2 linked regions of the Saccharomyces cerevisiae S288C genome follow. Changing the gene in region 2 together with the main gene of any one other region gives a genetic interaction. Each region holds a gene or a part of one and is shown on either strand. Other genes may lie near its edges.

The links.
Region 1: mutations in XPT1 (region 2) and FRE2 together harm fitness more than expected from each alone (negative genetic interaction), as found in Saccharomyces cerevisiae (one large-scale study listed by BioGRID).

Annotation. Positions count from the first base shown.
Region 1 is NC_001143.9:8,533-13,347, reverse strand, and holds FRE2 (ferric/cupric-chelate reductase), read left to right. Parts: upstream 1-2,121; coding exon 2,122-4,257; downstream 4,258-4,815. UniProt on the Saccharomyces cerevisiae protein: Metalloreductase responsible for reducing extracellular iron and copper prior to import. Catalyzes the reductive uptake of Fe(3+)-salts and Fe(3+) bound to catecholate or hydroxamate siderophores.
Region 2 is NC_001142.9:671,277-674,365, reverse strand, and holds XPT1 (xanthine phosphoribosyltransferase), read right to left. Parts: upstream 1,376-3,089; coding exon 746-1,375; downstream 1-745. Other genes in the region: SGM1 (Sgm1p), read left to right, coding at 1-637; NMD5 (Nmd5p), read right to left, coding at 1,698-3,089. UniProt on the Saccharomyces cerevisiae protein: May act as a xanthine phosphoribosyltransferase involved in the synthesis of purine nucleotides. Such activity is however unclear in vivo.

The sequences.
Region 1 (4,815 bases), on a different chromosome or scaffold from region 2:
CAAAAATGACTTGGTATTATTATCTGGAGTCGTATTACGAATTTGCTAAAATGAAAGAGAACTACATATTTTGATGCATATAACGCGTTATTATAGCCAATCCGCCTATACAAGGTGGGAGAGAGGTAAGTACAAACATGGTCATTAAGCGCTAGAAGCAATATTATTATCCTATACACTCAAATCAAAAGTGTTCTTGGCTCTTCAAAAGGACGATTTTTATTGAAAAAGAAACATATACCTCGTGCTAAAGAAAATAGTGCAAAATATGTAAAACTTCCAAAAGTTTACAAACAGATAGACAGCATGACGGCTGAAGCCATTCTTTCTTCAACGGCAGTGTTCTAGAGTTTTCATCTGCAAATATACCTAAATTTTTTCCATCATTTCTTGCAGTTAATACGTCAACAGTCACGATGACTACGGACAAACGTTTACTGTTCGGATATCAAGTATCGATATTAAGTACTCAATATTACAGGCATTATGATCTGGCCTAGTGAACAAATATAATCAGCAAATTTAGCGGAACCGATATCAAGAAGTTAAAAAATGTCTATGTGTTAACCAAGATCCACATACTTAGAATGTACCATAGTAGATGCTTATAAAAGAGCGCCATGTAGTTCCGCATTGTATCAGCTAATGAGGCAAAAAAACAAGAATGATCTTTTGTACAATTTTGAAATTTTCACCTAGCAATATAGTCCCAAACCAAGATGTTTTCTATAAAAGCCTTTAATCCGGAAGTGCAAAGTGGTTGAAGACTAGCCTGAAATCTAGAATCCTTGCATATTTTTTTAAGGTTTATTTTCCTCCCTCACTATGGAAAAATGTTACATCGATAATATTATAATAAGCTAGTCAGTTTGACCGCCTAGCTAGTACTAATTATTTGTGAAACTGGTAAGAGTGTTCATTTGCCCTTCATAAGTGAACTATAATTGGTTTAGGATGCGCCAATATCTGGATTGGACCACACTATAGAATATCAGAAAAGGCAAGATTTGTTTAACAAAAAGCATGACTAAGCTAGACCATTGAGAGCAACCTCGAAACTAAGGTGGAGCTGTGATCTTGAATATTCTACTCTGGTTATCGTTAATTTCGATTAGCCCAAGATAACTCTTTTGAATTTCAAGATTTTTCAAGCTGCCTCCTTAATGATTTTATGGATTGTAGGAGGAAAAACCTTAGCGTGGTATTTCTGGAACACGGATAAGGGAAGATGCTGATTTTGTGCCGTCTTGAATACCCCTTTGAGTATTGGACACTGTTTAGACGAACGAATAATTCGAAACTTATTGAGTGTTTTTGATAGGGGGATGTATGAATACTTCCATTTTTGGTTTTAAATAAGTACAAGAATTTCACTATGAAATGGTCAAGAATGTATTCGAGAGAAAAAACTTTTTTAGGGAGAAATAAGCAGCATGAGCTACAGAGATATCCATAACAATGAATAACATCATAATGTCTCTCAGCCAGAAAACACAGCTAGACAAATACTGACTTTGCGAATGCACCAGAAATGAACCATATGGGCTAGAATCCATTGTACCAAAAGTTGCCTGTTCTTTACGTTTACCAAAGAATATCGCACAGAAAACTGTCAAAATTCATTGCGTTGTGTGACTCTAACTGGAAGTTTACTATGCAAACAGGATGATTATTGTACATTTATTCGTAATTGCACCCAGGTCTTTTTTGCCTTTATTTCGGGTTTACAGGAAAACAAGTAAATTTTGACGTGATAAAAAAGTAGACTCGTTAAATCAGGATGAAGTACCGGTAATGGTTGCATTGACAAATAGTTGGCTCAATGATGCTAGTGGGTATTGATTTTGTTGAAAATATGGGTGTATCATTCGTGCCATAATAGAATTAGCAAGCAACCTATCATTCTACATTCTAAACGATAGTACTGTTTCCTTGCTTTTCTGAATTCTTTTCTGATGAACAAAATCCCTCCTTTCTTGGACAACATACTCTAAATTCGGTTATTGCAAGGTATCATTAATTTGCCACTAAATATATAAGTCGCAAAAAATGAACATGATTTTTTGCTACAGTTGTAATAAAGTCTTTTTTATCCAAAGCTTATGAAACCCAACGAATATAATGCATTGGACGTCCATCTTGAGCGCTATTTTGCTTTTCTGCCTGTCAGGAGCAAGAGCATCACCTGCAAAGACAGTTATTCGTAACAAGGTGCCCTTGCTTGTCACTAATGCCTGCACGAGGATTTTTCAAAAAGTTACTTGGGAGTATACCAGCAAGTCTAAGCGTTCATCACCAGTATGTTCTTACGAACCAGCGTTTCAATCAATGCTGTATTGTATCTATGAAACGTTGGATGAAAAAGGTTATTCGAATAAAACCTTAGAAAAAACATTTAGTACCATCAAAAAAAACTGTGCAAGTTATAGTGATGCTCTTCAGAACATGACTAATTCTGAGTTTTATGACGTTCTAAACAACGGAACGAGGCATATGACGCCCTATGTCAAAGGCAGTGCAAACCTAACATATCCAGTTGAAATGGATACACAGTTAAGAAAAGCCTACTATCATGCATTGCATGGTTTCTATGCTAACTTAGATGTCGGAAACATATATGGTGGCATTATATGTGCTTATTTTGTCGCTATCATGGCTTTTGCAGGCGTTCTTCATTGCATGAATTACACTCCCTTTAAAACTGTTCTATTGAAGCAAAAGCTTGTGGGATATGTAAGGGGATACCTCACTCTACCTACCATTGGAAGCAAACATGCGTCAGATTTCTCTTATTTTAGAATATTCACAGGATATTTACCTACAAGATTAGAGGGTATCATTATTCTTGGATATCTCGTGCTTCATACCGTTTTTTTGGCATACGGTTATGAATACGATCCTGAAAATATAATATTCAAGTCTCGTAGAGTTCAAGTTGCTCGATATGTGGCAGACAGAAGTGGTGTACTCGCATTCGCACACTTTCCATTAATAGTTCTTTTCGCGGGAAGAAACAACTTTCTCGAGTATATTTCTGGGGTTAAATATACTTCCTTCATTATGTTTCACAAATGGTTGGGAAGAATGATGTTTTTGGATGCTATGATTCATGGCTCTGCATATACTAGTTATACGGTAGCGAATAAAACTTGGGCAACAAGTAAAAACCGATTATATTGGCAATTCGGGGTGGCAGCACTTTGTTTAGCTGGCACAATGGTTTTCTTTTCCTTTGCAGTATTCAGGAAGTATTTTTATGAAGCCTTTCTTTTTCTTCATATCGTCCTTGGTGCAATGTTCTTTTATGCATGTTGGGAGCATGTTGTTAGTTTAAGTGGCATTGAGTGGATATACACTGCTATTGCGATTTGGATCGTTGACCGGATTATTAGAATTATCAAAGCTTCTTATTTTGGTTTCCCCAAAGCTTCCCTACAACTAATCGGGGATGATCTCATTCGTTTAACAGTTAAAAAACCGGCAAGGCCATGGAGGGCCAAACCTGGGCAATATGTTTTCGTTTCGTTTTTACATCCACTGTACTTCTGGCAGTCACATCCATTTACTGTTTTGGATTCAGTAAGCAAGAATGGTGAACTGGTTATTATCCTGAAAGAAAAAAAGGGAGTAACAAGACTTGTCAAAAAGTATGTGTGTCGCAATGGAGGTAAGACATCTATGAGACTAGCTATAGAAGGTCCATATGGTTCTTCATCTCCGGTCAATAATTACAATAATGTATTGTTACTCACTGGAGGTACCGGTTTGCCTGGACCTATTGCACATGCAATTAAACTTGGAAAGACGTCAGCGGCTGCTGGAAAACAATCTGTAAAATTAGTGATTGCAGTTAGAGGATTCGACGTACTCGAGGCTTATAAGCCGGAGTTGATGTGTTTAGAAAATCTGAATGTACAGCTTCACATCTACAACACAATGGAAGTCCCATCATTAACCCCTAGTGATAGTTTAGATATTTCTCAACAGGATGAGAAGGCTGATGAAAAAGGCACTGTTGTGGCAACTACTTTAGAAAAGTCTGCCAATCCACTTGGTTTTGATGGTGTTGTTTTCCATTGCGGGCGACCAAATGTTAAGGAACTTCTACATGAAGCGGCTGAATTGAGTGGCTCATTATCTGTGGTTTGCTGTGGACCTCCTATTTTTGTTGACAAAGTGAGGAATGAAACCGCAAAAATAGTTTTAGATAAGTCTGCAAAAGCCATTGAGTACTTTGAAGAGTATCAATGCTGGTGATCATTTTTTACTTAAAACTAGTCATTTCATTAATAATACCTATCCAAATTTTAGTATGTCGATGGAGAAAGCTGCCTATAACTTTATGGTAAGGAGGTAATTGAAGCAGAGTACAGCAGTCCTTTGATATTTTATCTAAATCTTAAATATCTCTTTTATGGAATTTGTGAAAGTCGTAGTGTGTCGCATGGTTTTTTTTCTTAAGAAGTTAGCTCTGTATAGTCCCTGTATTTAAAGAGTTAATATTTCGATAAACCTGCAATGAAACCCTTTCTTGGCAATTTGGCTATATTTAAAGTGTGAACAATGGTCACTGAATTTTTATACGGCCCTCAGGCAAATTTTATGAAACGTTAATTGCGTGTTTCAGTATTATACACAGATGCAAGGAAGATAAACAAAACTGCATAAGCTAACTTCCGTCCTGGAAAATTTACCACAAGCTTTATAATGGCTGTTATTTTATTTACCATACCATCCGTTCATATATCTTTTCAATTTTCTCTGTATTCCTGTTTTTGTACTGTGGAGTAATATCACACACCGAGTCTTCGATAT
Region 2 (3,089 bases):
ATGGACTTTACCTCAAGAAAATTCTATGCTGTCATTATCAATGTCAAAACTTGGCGAATTAGAAAGCGATCCGTCTCTAAAACCCATTTACAATGAATCTCACGAAACCATATGTAGCGAAGAAAGCCAACATTTTGATAGAAAAAATGTGGATTTCAGCATTGACGATATTCCAGAAGAGGCCGCTGCTTTACAAGCAATCAGGGAAGGGGAATCAATGAACTCGTTAAACAACACATCAATACCATACAGAAGAGCTAGCGTCCAGCTATCGAATTCTAACGGCCACATAAGCGCTCATCTGGTGAACAAGTTAAGTACGGAGTTAAAAAGATTGGAAGGTGAATTATCAGCATCAAAGGAATTATACGATAATTTACTGAAAGAAAAGACAAAAGCAAATGATGAGATTTTAAGACTTCTGGAAGAAAACGATAAATTCAATGAGGTAAATAAACAGAAAGATGATCTCTTAAAAAGAGTTGAGCAGATGCAAAGTAAATTGGAAACCTCCTTACAACTATTAGGTGAAAAGACTGAACAAGTGGAGGAATTAGAAAATGATGTGTCCGATTTAAAAGAGATGATGCATCAACAAGTTCAACAAATGGTAGAAATGCAAGGAAAAATGAGATAACTAGAAATACACTCTTATCTTTAGATTTAGGTTAAATATGAAATAATTACCAATGATAACTATATGTATCTATATACATGCAACCCCATCGCAACATACTGTTTGTCATCAGTCATGACCTTGAGCCTTAGCGAGCATGGTATGTTCTTCGATATCTTCAGCGTCCCATGGATAGCACAACCACTTATCAGGGACAGTTTGCGCAGCAATGTAACGTCCAGAATTCATCATGGAGTCAGGTAGTCCAGCTCTCTTTGGTTTGTCCTTATTATGTAGAACAAAGATAGAAATAACGGTTTCCTCACTCATTCTATTCAAAACCTTTTGTTGTTCAGCAATCTCTTTTTCCAGCTCAGAAACAGCATAGTGGAGGGTAGTTCTAGTATCGTCAACTTCATCCACAATTAGGACCTTTTTACCAATTAAGGAATCGAAATGTTGGTTCAAAGCACCGAAGTCCAGCCATTGTGTTCTGATGACCTCTTTGCCGATAGTTTCGACGCTATTATCCAACCCTAAATCTTCATACAAAGATAGGCCGATGGCCTGAATCGGAATATTCTTTTGTCCTTTAGTTTTCAAAAAGGACCTAATAATTCTTGCGGGGATCATACCACCACCAGTGATGGCGATAATAATATCAGGTCTTTCGTTTCTAGCTAAGATATGTTTAGCCACTCCCTGACAAAGCTTGTGAATATTATTATAGGAGATGTACATTCTCTCATTTTCGGCCATCTTGGTACAAGTATATTTTGAAGTGATCAATGTTTATGAAATCTAGTACAAGGATGGGCTATGCAAAAGAAAGACTGACAAAACTCAGATATTTTTCTTTCCGATTTAACTACGATTCTTTCCCCAGCTTAGAGATAAAAAAAGCTTGTGATTTTTTTAGGTTCATCGCATTGACTCCAGATAAAAAAAAAAGATCTTGATATCAAATCAAAGTCAACTGGCCGAGGCAAAGGCAACAAACTTTGAGCATAATATCCTCTCTCTTCTATCTAAATTATGTAATCCAGTGTTTGTTTCAATATACAATCGCCATTTAATTCAATTAGGCATTCATAATTCCCATGAATAGTTCTTGATCAGCCGGGGTCAGATGTCTCAAGATTCCCTGATATCTATTGCTGTCAACATGTTGTAAGTTCGCAATGGACTCCTTGAAAACCTTGTATACGTCAACTGTGTCCAGGATCGACCCCGTTAATGGGTCCTCTTCTAGGTCATCGAAAGTTTCCTTTGCGTCATAACCATCTACGAAGTCCAAGGAATCGGCTCTATTTTTTATCAGTTCCAGATATTTCTCAGTAAGGTCTCCCTCGTCATCATTTTCATCATCGTCTCCAACGTCAAGAAAATTTTCATCCCACTTAGTATCCTCTTCAAAACCGGATGATGAGAATTCCTTGCGTTGGTTAGCTAATTGCCTTAACGCCGTTGGTAGCCTCGAAGCTAACTGCGTAACAATACTCCCTAATTGCGGAACCAAATTTTCTAAGTTCAACACTGAATAATCGTTGCTTTCTAACTTCAGTATAATTTTTAATAACGCAAGAACTGATAATTTGATATCATAGCACCTTTTATAATTCGGAATATAGTCTGTAATCCACGTTTGAAAGAAGATTTCAAGACAACCTTGCTGTTTCAGGTACTGAAGCGTGATCAAAGGCTCTGTTATCATATTTGAGATTACGACATTAAAAGCAGTCACACTAAATACAACATTAGTTTTCAATTCATTCTTTTGCGTTAGAATAGAGCCGACAACATCCGCCAGTAGGCGCTCTCTGTATTGTTGAGGTAAACTGTCATCTAATGCAAGAACCAACTCTTGGGATAAATCAAAAACCACTCTAAGATCGTCTAACGAATTATCTTCTGCAGTAACAGCCTTTTGATATATTTCGAATATGATTTTTGTGTAAAACTCGTTCTTCTTTAATTCGTTCCTTCCATAAATGAGGATATTATTTAAGGCTAGCATGAAATCACTTAAATAATAAGATACCATACTATCTGGTTTTCTATTACATTCTCCAATCAGCTCCAAAATTTTCCAGCTGATGGGTGTGATATCTCTTAGTAGGAATGTAGAGTTCTCTACAAATTCGCAACATTCGCGATAGAAATCTTCGATGTCGTTTTTCAAAATAAACTCTGCAGCTGGATAAAATGACTGTTCCAAGTTTTTTAAAATTTCAGGTGAATTCTCAAAAGACAACAGAATAGATATCGTAGTCGACAAAATACCTAGCGCCGCCATTTGCTTGTCAGATTCATCGGGTATGCTATCAACGTTCGTGAAGGAATCTGGATCCAAATTGGATGTTTCATGCAGATCAATAGCTAATTTCAAAAACTGTTGGACCAAAGTGTTCATTAATTCAACACCAAAAGGTTGTAATTGCTCAGCAAACTGCTCCACAAAATCTTGCATAAC